Tribolium castaneum: one gene and its partners. The protein of the gene in region 3 binds, or shares a complex with, the protein of the main gene of each other region. Links are inferred from orthologs where the notes say so. Each region holds a gene or a part of one and is shown on either strand. Other genes may lie near its edges. The genes, in order: MRG15, YL-1 and Nipped-A.

What was found.
Region 1: Nipped-A (region 3) and MRG15 share a complex: the UniProt entries of both Drosophila melanogaster proteins name them as parts of the tip60 chromatin-remodeling complex. The link is inferred for Tribolium castaneum from reciprocal best matches to the Drosophila melanogaster genes Nipped-A and MRG15.
Region 2: Nipped-A (region 3) and YL-1 share a complex: the UniProt entries of both Drosophila melanogaster proteins name them as parts of the tip60 chromatin-remodeling complex. The link is inferred for Tribolium castaneum from reciprocal best matches to the Drosophila melanogaster genes Nipped-A and YL-1.

The regions. Positions count from the first base shown.
Region 1 is NC_087400.1:991,307-994,478, forward strand, and holds MRG15 (mortality factor 4-like protein 1), read left to right. Parts: upstream 1-1,438; 5' UTR 1,439-1,549; coding exon 1,550-1,577; intron 1,578-1,626; coding exon 1,627-1,744; intron 1,745-1,795; coding exon 1,796-2,618; 3' UTR 2,619-2,652; downstream 2,653-3,172. Other genes in the region: INO80 complex subunit B, read right to left, coding at 421-816, 864-1,234, 1,282-1,285; uncharacterized protein LOC657630, read right to left, coding at 2,653-3,017, 3,067-3,172. UniProt on the Drosophila melanogaster protein: Part of the Tip60 chromatin-remodeling complex which is involved in DNA repair. Upon induction of DNA double-strand breaks, this complex acetylates phosphorylated H2AV in nucleosomes and exchanges it with unmodified H2AV.
Region 2 is NC_087397.1:8,922,037-8,925,932, reverse strand, and holds YL-1 (vacuolar protein sorting-associated protein 72 homolog), read right to left. Parts: upstream 2,292-3,896; 5' UTR 2,146-2,291; coding exon 2,009-2,145; intron 1,959-2,008; coding exon 1,832-1,958; intron 1,776-1,831; coding exon 1,679-1,775; intron 1,628-1,678; coding exon 1,177-1,627; intron 788-1,176; coding exon 568-787; 3' UTR 532-567; downstream 1-531. UniProt on the Drosophila melanogaster protein: Part of the Tip60 chromatin-remodeling complex which is involved in DNA repair. Upon induction of DNA double-strand breaks, this complex acetylates phosphorylated H2AV in nucleosomes and exchanges it with unmodified H2AV.
Region 3 is NC_087401.1:16,699,197-16,703,363, forward strand, and holds the start of Nipped-A (transcription-associated protein 1), read right to left. Parts: upstream 2,928-4,167; 5' UTR 2,800-2,927; intron 2,623-2,799; 5' UTR 2,590-2,622; coding exon 2,440-2,589; intron 2,390-2,439; coding exon 2,090-2,389; intron 2,038-2,089; coding exon 1,843-2,037; intron 1-1,842. Other genes in the region: facilitated trehalose transporter Tret1, read right to left, coding at 3,200-4,167. UniProt on the Drosophila melanogaster protein: Part of the Tip60 chromatin-remodeling complex which is involved in DNA repair. Upon induction of DNA double-strand breaks, this complex acetylates phosphorylated H2AV in nucleosomes and exchanges it with unmodified H2AV.

The DNA of each region.
Region 1 (3,172 bases), on a different chromosome or scaffold from region 3:
TTTCGCTAAAATGTCAATTTTTGTTTATAAGTCGAAAACAAAAGACGATCGGGAGATGCGGTTTTGACCCGAGAATGTGTCTCTAATTTTTCTCTAACCTCTTAATTTCGGACACCCAAAAAGCAGCACCCTGTACAAACGAACAGTACCTTAAAGTTTATTTGTTTAAGATGCACAAATTTCGGGGAAGTTTCCCGCTAGGGGCGCCCCACACGTGCCAAAATAGGTCAGATAGACAGAGTCACATACAATGTTTCCTTCCGGTAACAATAACTGATCAAAGTGGCCTGTGATTGGCTCGGGCCACTTTGATTCGAAAATTAATACGCGCCATCCAAGTGGCCTAGTCACAACCCAACAAATGTAAAACAAATAAATTACCGTATCTCTGACTCAAAACTGGCCTTTTTTCCCTTCCCCTCACAAAATCCGACTAGCGATATTCCTTTTATAACACGTTAGACTGCACAGCGGTGCATTTGTCCGCGAACAGGAGTATTTTTTCACATTGCCACAGCCCATGCTACACAGTGTGGCTTTCGGGGGCTCTTTGCCCCCCGCCCCCGGCAAGGGCCAGTCCATCCCTTGCGGGAACGACACTGTCGTTAACCCAACATTCTGACGGTACAAAATCATGGGGGTTTGCGCTTTGGTGATTTTGTTTTTCGCCGCTTTGGCCGCCTTCGACTCCTGCTTTTTGAGCAGCCTTTCCATCGTCTTCTTCTTATCCTTTTCGCGCTTTTCGTCCGCCAGTTGTTTGCGTTTCTGCGACTTGATCGCCGCTTTTTGAATCGCTTCGGCCGTCATGACCTTCTCCTAAACCAACAAGTCTAAACTATTTGAATTGAAACAAACTGAATTACTTTATATCCAGTCGGGAGCGACATTAACGTGGGGGTGGTCACAGAGGGGCTCCCGTCCACCTCACGCTCGTACATGGCGCGCTGTCGCGCCGTCATCAAGGCCGGGTCCTTCGGCTTGATTTTCTTCAATTCGTCGTCAACATCCTCAAGCTTCCCGGACTCGATGGCAGTGAGCCACCGTTCCTCGTCACTTGAGGCACTGTCGCGTTTTTTGCGCTTTTTATTACCAGAGGACGATGCGGACGGGGGCTTGTTCACCGGCGACTTGGTTTTAGCACCAGACTCGTCCACTATGAGCAAATCACCGGAGGTGTCGTCCTCCGGCAAAGGGGGCCTCCGCTTAACCTTACTTTTCTTCGATTTCTGCAACTCTAAACCCACGATAACACGATCAGGGGGCACATTTAAACAAACTCACCCATTCCAAGCCAAATTCAAACGCCGTCTAAAGCTAGGTTATGTTGACAAAATGGCGTGACCGTAGCCACTTCTGGCTTGTAATCAATCATAATTAACTAACCCTGGCACAATTTCGCCCCAAATCAATCATCAAGCAAATAAATGTTTCACAAAATACAATAAATAACAAATAAAGGCACCGGGACGCGTTATAACCGGCACAAATGTGCCGGTAGCCACAACCAACTGTCAATTGTCAAAACAAAAAAAATTGTTTGAAGCCGAAAATGCCCCCCAAGTTTAAATTTTCCGAAGGTAAGACACGTGGTCGCCCCCTTAAGCCGCCCAAACACCCCTTTTCCAGGCGAGAAGGTTTTGTGCTTCCACGGCCCGTTGATTTACGAAGCCAAATGTCTGAAGTCGACCATAACCAAGGACAAGCAAGTGAAGTACTTTATCCATTACGCTGGTTGGAACAAAAAGTGTGTAAGTGTTTTCGGGGGGCCTTGTAATTGACAGTCGTGTGTTTGCAGTTGGGACGAATGGGTGCCCGAAAGCCGTGTCCTCAAATACAACGAGGCCAACGTTGCGAGACAAAAGGAGGTGCAAAAAGCCCACTCGACTCAACCCAGCAAGACGAAAAAGGCCAAGAAGAGTAAAACCGACGCCACGAAAGACATTGACTCGAGATCTAGTACCCCAAATAATGAACTGATCAAAGGGGGGAAGAGCAAAATAAGCACACCGTCGAGTGGGCAAGACTCGGGTTCAGACGTGCCCCGGAAGAAAAGGGGGCGGTTGGACCCCTCGGTCGAGTCCGAGGAGCAATTTTTGAATAAGGTTGAAATCAAGGTTAAAATCCCTGACGAGTTGAAACCTTGGTTGGTGGACGACTGGGACGTAATTACCAGACAACGAAAACTCGCAAATTTGCCGGCAAAAGTCACAGTCGAGCAAATTCTGGACAACTATCTCGCTTACAAGAAGTCAATCAAGTCGAATAATTCCAGCAAAGAGTCGGCTACGATTGAAATCGTCAAAGGCATCAAGGAGTATTTTAACGTGATGTTGGGGACGCAACTTTTGTACAAGTTCGAGCGGCCCCAGTACGCCGATATCTTGCAAACCTACCCCGATAAGCCCATGTCTGAGGTGTACGGTGCCACTCACTTGCTCCGTCTGTTCGTCAAGCTGGGGGCCATGTTGGCGTACACGCCCCTCGACGAACGCAGCATCCAACTCCTGCTCCAGAACATCCAAGATTTCTTGAAATATCTGGTCAAAAACAGCGCCCAATTGTTCAGCCTGCAAGACTACGGGAACGCCACACCTGAATACCACCGCAAGGCGCTTTAATTGTGATTATTTTATTAAAAATAATAGAAAAGCATTAGTCGGTTTTTAAAAACGGGGCCCAACTCTCGCTGGGGGCCTCGGGCGGGGCGACCCACCCGAGTGGAATAGCCGAGCCTGAGGCGTTCCCCGGACTTAGAAACGTGTCCCAACTTTTCCTTATGGCGATAAATGTCTCCAAGTCGCGGTCGGCGCTCGTTAGAGCCCAGAAGGTGGGGTTGTTGACGGGGGGGTCTCGGGGGCCGAATAGGAGGGACTCCCAGTCGTCGACAATGCGGGTTTGTTTGGCGGCGATCGCCGCTTTGGAGTCCTTACTGGCGTTGTGTTCCAGCATCACTTTCAAGCATTGCTCCTCTTTGCAGTAGCTCTGGTACGAGTTCTCCCACATGCGAATTAGTTTCTCTGAAAGTTTAGTTATGTAGAAGTGTTTGTCTTGTTTGGCCAATTTTACCCGTGACGTGCCCGAAGGCCTGCCTGTCCTCCAGCGACAACTTGTCGCCCCTTTGCGTGGCCATGGCGTCTCTAACCGTCCGCAACTTAACGAGCGCGGAAATGAG
Region 2 (3,896 bases), on a different chromosome or scaffold from region 3:
AAATTGTTTTGCTGAGAGTACTTTAAAGATTTTTTAACTATTATAAATATTTACATTATGTTGTACTTAGATTAGAGATTAATTTCGTTTTCTCAGAGTTTTAACGAATTGTATATTAAAACAGTAATCTATTAACAAATTCGCATTGTTAATCGAACTACTCTTTTGATATACACTGTTCATACTCAAGTGCTAAAATTATTTTAACAAAGTAATAATGGCATTAATTAATGAGGTAGCTTATCAAATACCTATTAATTTTATATGATATGTTAAACTAGATGTAATTTATGTGTCATATTAATAATATTTAATGTTATTAATTCTTGTTGTACTTCATAAGCCAATTTTCAGCCAAATTATTGGCTACTGAGATTATGGTAATGTATTATTTGTGCACCAGTTTAATAAATATATTAACTAAACGTTTTCGACGCTTTTCATTCGTCCAAATTTGTTGCAAACTCATTCACTAACATTTAATCGTGTTGATCTCAGACCAAAACAGTTTTATTTGAAAGAAATAGAAACTGTATTATAAAAATTTATTAAATAGAGCAAAATAAATCAACTGTGATCCACCTGATGTGTTTTTACTTTCAACGCCAACTCCCTCCTTAACTTATCCTTATTCTTAACGTACCACTTAAGCCAGTTTGCAACTACTGGATTACTCTTATCTCCATGAGCTTCCAGTTGTTGGTAATAAGCAGAACGAATTATCTTCAAACACATGCTGCTGTGGTAAGGCAGACACGTTTTAGGGTCAACGTACTTTGCAAGGTGACTGAAAACACAAAATAAATAAAAATAAAAAAATGCGTCGCTTTTTAGAAAATATTTTGCTCCCTAATTCAAAAGTGCAAACTATGTCTTTTCCTCCCTAGACAGGAAAGACATACTGTGCACATTGCACCTCCAAATTAGGCGAAAAAAATATATACAGGGTGAGTCACTGTAATATGCCTGCAGATTAAATTGTAGAAAAATAAAAAAATAACCCCTGACATTTAAAAAAATTATGTTTAGACTGCACTGTAAAAATGGAAGACTGTATTATCGGACAAAGAATTTTAGAATACGATACCACTGACGGTGTATGTCATATCAATGACTCACCCTGTACACGTGACGGGAGCAAGAATTGCCCCTGCACATATAAATAGCTATTTTTACCCTGTGACAATGCATCTGAGACGTCGTGGAAGCGGACGCGCTGTCTTTTTTTCAAAAATGCTGTTAAATGTGGCATCGTTAGGGTCATTAAGCACTGAGATAAACGTGCGTTCGCACACGTTTTCTGATTCGTTCTTGATGTCTTTATCTTGATTGATTTCCTCAATGATTGGCATTCGTGTTGATCTGTATTGGATAACAGGGCCATTGATGACTTTTTTCACAGTTCGTTTCGTTTTCTTCTCACTTTCCATCTTTTGGTACTTTTCAAGTGACTTCAAGTTCTCCAATTCGGTCGTTTTTGCTTCTTCGAGTAACTCTTCCTGTGTTGGCACCCATTCTTCTTCTTTCGGTTTCTTGATTTTTTTCTTTTGTTCGAGATTTCGTACTTTGATGCGTTGTGCTGTTGCGGCTGATTTTGCAGCTGTGGACTTCCTGATTGACTTTCTTTCTGTAACACGTTTGTTGCCAAATATTATTAACTAACTCGTTATTTTCAAACCGTATTCTGTGGATTCATGTTGGGTTGTTCTGACTTTAGGGACAGGTTTTGTGGGTTTTGGTTTTGCTTTTTGTTTACTGGGTGCAGGCACTGGTTCCTACAATGTTTCAGATAAAAATTAACAAAAAATCGAACGTCATAATCGTGCATTACCTTGTAAGCCTTTGTAACTAATCTTCGTTTCTTCTTCTGACCCTCCTCCTCATTGTCTGAAATAGGTTCGTCATTTTCGTCAATACTAAAGTCGGAATCTACCACATCTTCGCCTTCTTCCTCCTCCCTGCAATTAAACCATAACAAAACGGAACAAAATGAATCAGAAGTGAGTACTCGTATTCCCTATCGGATTCGGTTTCTTCAAAACCACCATAATTGGTTTTGTAGAATTCGTCTTGACATTCTTCTTCTTCATCTAACAATTTTGCCATACGGTTACCGGCATTTGCCCGTTTTTCTCTTTTTGCCATTGTAACGAATTTCTCGCCTGGGACAGGGACAACAAACCAATGATAAGTTTTATTACAAAGTAAATGGTTTTTATTTAATATTTTTCCTAATTAAATAAAAAACACAAGCACTAAACACCATCTGTCAAACTGCGAAATTTTAAGGTTAGTATTTTGCTAGATACCATAGAATTATCAGTAAGTACCAATAGCTAAGTTTCATATGTCACTGCAACAAGCGTTCGAGTCCTTTCGTATTTTGGTAAAAAAAGATTTTGGCACTTTACAATGAATGAATGGAATAAATACGTGCGTGTGGGAATATTTTTAGAATTGATCTCATTTTTTCCTCCGCAATAACCCCACCAAAAGGGTGAAAATGAGTTATTTCTCGTCTTTTTGTTGGTGGTCCTGATAAATCGAGGGGAATTACAGAATTATCAATAAGTCGTCTTCAGCTGCTGCTGACGTTGCTGTTGCAAAGGTAGGTAATTGTTACAATAGCCAGCCACATTTCCGTTACAAAAAGAGAAAACAAAGATGGGAGTTCAAGGCATAGTTCTTATGACTGCGATGGTTTTTGCAATTGGGTTGGCCATATATGAAGTCTACACTGCTAGAAACAACACAGCTTCTTGTCACCAGAGCGACAATAAGTATACATATGTGTACACACCGAGGGTACAGGAAAGAACACCAGATACAGCAGATACAGGAAAGAACAAGTGAGTAACTTATTATGTAACTGCAACGTACAAAAACACCTTTTTACAGAAAAAAAAGAAGAAACTCGGTTCCGGAATGTGTGATATGTTGTGAACCATTGCCTGAAGGTGATGGTGGCATTATTTTACCATGCAAACATAAATTTCATGATCAGTGTATCACAAGATGGTTCAAAGAAAACAGAAGTTGTCCAGTTTGTCGCAAATGTGCATAAACTAAGATACAGTAATTTTTCTCAGCTAACAAATCTCAACATATCCTAGGTTTATTAGCATTAGGAACAGCATTACAGCTACACTCATGCTTTTTTCCTATTTTTTTAAATAACCTTTGATTAATTAAAACAACTGAAATCATGACAATTATTATGAGCAATATGTACAATTTTGTGCCTTTCAGGATGTTAACCGAATTTTAACATTTATTGTTTCCTAAACTGTATGTAGAATTGTAGAATGACTAGAATATTAATTTATTTGTCTCATTGTTTCTTGTAGAATATAGTTTTTCATTTTTTCTTGTAATTTGAATGAAAGGAAAATGTACAGGTCAAAAATAAAGTTTTTTGAACCATTTTTTGTTGTGTATTACTAATCCCAGCCAATAAGTTTTGTAAAAATAAAGTGAAAAATTACTGTAACCGCGAATATTCCGATTTCAGAGAAAGAAAGTTGTTAGGTTATGTAATATTGTTGACAGTTATTTCTGACAATAACAAAACCCTGTTTATCAGCTTTACACTCAATATGTAAGATATTCGTAAGTGGTTGTGAAGCAAGCAGACATCAAACAACTAGCCTGCACCCTAAAGACACTTTGACCGTAATTAAATAAGTCAAAATTGGGTTTGTAAGTTTGTTGGGAATTTTAGTGCCAGGATGGTTTTCCAAGGATTTTCCTTCTTTGCCATGGCCATCGTGGGTGTTGGCGTCCTCGCTTACCATTTTTACAAAAACAGAGAAGCGTATTTTTACGAAACCCCCCAGACTTACAACATTTACAACCCTCCTGAACTCCAATATCCAACAAGTGACGACTCCAGGTAT
Region 3 (4,167 bases):
ATATTTTAACTATTTTAAAAAAGATTATTAATTAAATGTTCACACTTTTTGGCAATTTTAAATAAAAGAAAAAACAATATAGAAAAAGACAAAGTAAAAAAAACGTCAACAATTAATAAGTAACTTAATGTTATACACAAATAGTGCAATTCAATCTAAAAATACTAATTTACAATCGTAAGAAGCACTGTTTGGTTAATAAAAAAATCTTTAGATAAGTCAAAGTTTCTCAAAATAATTGCCTTTAAAATACGAAAACACACTTATTAAAAAAATTACCGAAAAAAATTAAAAACATTGGACTAAATTATATAATTTCAAGCTTTCAGCTAGTAAAGAAACTAATTTTGATGTGATTAATTAATTTTTTCACTATCCACTTTTTGTCTGTTTATTTGAATAAAAATGTCAATATAATTTAAAAAAGTATCTATAAGAACACGTAATAAAATAACAAAAAGAATTACGTTCATTTACTCGTTTTCGTTTACATTATTCGCAAACTATCCAGATTTCAACTAATTCTAAGTTCTAAATACAGAAACTCACTGATTAAAAAAAACACCAAAAAAAAATCAAAAAAATTGCCAAAATTAGTCTCAATTATGTTATTTCTGTCCATTTAACGTGTCATTCATTATTTTTTTAATTATTTACCTTATCTTGGCCTCTTTAAAAAAGATATAAATAAAAAATACAAAAATAAAATAAAATAACAAAAAAATACATCAACATTTTTTATGTTTCATTGACTTGTACTATAAAATTAAATGATTTTAATCAATCCTGAGTGAGTTATTTAGCTCAATATTACATCGGAAACTCAGTTATTGAAAAAAAAATCACCGAAAAAAGTCAAAATTCGCCAAAAAATTGTTCTAATAAAATATGTTACTTTAATTATTTTAAATGTAAAACTAATTGGTTTTTGTTAATTGTTCACACTTTTTGGCCCTTTTAAACAAAAGAAAAAGACCAAGTCTAACTTAATGTTATATACAAGTTTTTAGCTCATAAAAACCAATTTCATACAAATTATGTAATTTTCTGTATTGTTTTTGTAATTTTTTTTTTTTTTTAGAATAGCCTTTACCATAAAATTCAATAAAATTCTACACAGTCAAGAGAAACATTTTTTTCTGTCGAAAAATCTTAGTTTTAATCTCAAAATGTACTTAAACACTCAAAAACGCACCAAAAAATTAAAAAAACTACCTAATTTGTGGCCTTGTGGCTTAAATTCCACGATATCTCGTTCAAAACAAAAAACGAAAAACTCAAAAATACTCAAGAAATGTCAAAATTTGAAATTTTTCGAATCATTTTTTGACGAAATTTAAATAAAAATCGGCGAAATAATAACATTTACGAACCAAATTAATGAAATTTCAAACCGATTCAGTAAAATTGCGTCTCAATCTCAAAAAAATGCCTTAACATCCAAAAAAAATTACTACATTTCCAACTATAATTGCCCAAAAAAAAACATATTCAACATAAATTTGTAGTTTTCTGGCCGAATTTAACAAAATCTCGCTAAAATCTATGTTTAAACTTTTAAAACAGTGATTTTAATAGATTAAAACAAGTAAAAAAAACACAAAATAAACGTAATTTTGGGAATTTAGACGATTTTATTAACAAAAATTCGTTAAAAATCAACTTCTTTAAACGAGACAAATGCTATAATAAGGTGCATTTAGGTATTTCCAGACGATATAGCTCCTTTTTAAAAGAGAAAAATTGTTTCAAATTCTTTAATACATAAATGTTAGCACATAATCGGCGTTTTTTTTAAGAATTTGTAAATTTTTATTGCAGCAAAAAATAAATTAAACATACCGTGACTAAAGTGTCATCTTTATTCTTCTTCTCAGTTTGTATGGTCGTCATTGTGAACGTCTCCTTAAGTAACTCCTCAATGTTCAACTCATTTAAATTATTGACTTTAATTGGCGCCCTAGGTTCAAAAATCTTGTCCATATGATTGGGCAAATCCGAATAAATTGACTTAACAAATTGGAGAAAATGTTGTATCTACAAAAACCACTTAAATCTCAAACAAAATTAATTAAAAAAAAAAAATCACTTCTGGATTAAACGCCGGCCGATACTGCTTATGCAACTCGATGATAATCTTCAAACAGATCAAAACATTCTCCTCATTATCAATCTCCAAAAGGCGCAACATGAGCGACAAAATCGACTTAACATAAGGTCTCAGAAGATCATTCGTTGGCAGTCTGTACAACATCTCCAGAATTAATTTACGCACTTGCTGTATGTTATACTCGGCGATAAAATGCGGATCGCCCTCTTGTAGTATTTTCAGGAAGATTTTCACAGAGTGGTCCAAAAAACTCTGATAGAGAGACGACGAAAGAATGATCTGAAAGCCCACTTTCAGGGACATTTTTTCACGGTTTTGACCGCAAATACCTCGAAATTTTTGCTAATTTCCTGCGTGGCTTTCAGTTTCAGGACGTCCTTACAGTTGGCGTCCCCCAACATCGTGACGTAGCTCCTGAACTGGTTCATTTGAGTCGTATGGGGGTCGATGCCCGCCATGGTCGAAGAACTTGACTGCATTTGGGGCCCACTTCACTTTTTACATCTTAAAACCTTAAACGTAAAGCCGGGGCTCAAAATTTGCCGAAAAAACGAGCAAAAAACGTTCAAATTTGAGAAGTGAATGAACAACATAACCTCCAAAAAAAAACAATCAGATAACCGACTTAAAGTTGACGCATTTCATTCGTGTAAAAAACGTATCGCTTAATTGGGCCAAAATCTACTAACTTTTTCGAAAATTGCACGTTTTTCTAACACTGGAACACTTTTTTCCGTGTTTTAAACATATTCACGATGAATGAATGGGAAGTGGCTACGGTTAACTAGGTGAAGAAGTGGCTAGAGTTGCGCCATGTTGTTTGGAATTATCAATTTCTGGCCTTTTTGCCGAAAAATCGGAACACAAAAACTAGCACAATTTGTAAAAAAAACGAGCAATTTAATTGTGCTTGTATTGTGGCTTAAAAACCAGATATTTGTGGCTAATTGTGGTAGGCAACCAATCAAACACAGTCGAAAAATAAATAATTTTATTCATCAATTAAATACAAAAATAGTTGTTTGTACAATCAATCACCGTCGGTTCTATAAGAACTAAGTTTTTTCCAACTAGTTGAAAGTAATTACGTCATGTCTGTATCTGCACCGTGTAAATCCCCTCGTTTTTTATCACTTCCGGGCAAAACCCTTGGTTATCAAACCCATCCAAAACCTTCTTGCGTTTGAAATAATCCTCAATCTCCTGCAAGGATTTGTTCTTAGTTTCGGGCAACACAAATTTACAGAAAAACAGCGCGACCACTGCTGCCAACAAAAAAGTCATCAAAGTGCCGCTGAAATTCAAATGTTCGATCATATCAGGGTAGATTTTGACAAACAGGAAGACAAAACACTGCGCTATGCAGATGACAATCCCGCTCATGATGGACCTAACTTCCAGCGGGAACAACTCCCCGACCAGAATCCACGGAATCGGGAGCATCCCCACCATGGAGAACATCACATTGAAGACGACACACACCAGGGGAAGTACCGGCAAAACCCGTACTTCCCCCGCATGCATCTCGTAGTATTTGAAATAAACGACCATTGCCAACATTGCAACGCTCATCCCCCCGCTCGAGGCCATGCAAAGTAGGCGACGGCCGAACCTATTCACTAGAATCGCAGTCACCATTGACATCCCGAACCGAATCGCCCCGACAATGATCGAAGACACGTAATTGTCCAGTTCGAGATCAGTCTCTTCGAAGAAATTCACAGCGTAAAAAAGAATCGTGTAAATCCCCGATAATTGTTGGAGAAAGAACAAAGTGACAAGGATGAGGAACGGTTTAATGGTGGCAGCACTGCAGTAGATTTCTTTGGCGCTAATTTCGATTTTCTCACTTGAAGCGTGTTTAGAAACTTCGGTTTGTGCCAAAGCTACGTTTCGCCGAAACCAAAAATAACTATCGAAAGCTTTGGAGTGAAGCCCGGCCTTAATTAAATACGAGGGACTTTCCGGAAGAAACTCGACCGCAATTAGCGTAAATAAAGCAAATGAAACGCTCAAAAAAGCAACAGTTGACCACGAGAGGACGTAACCAAGTGTGT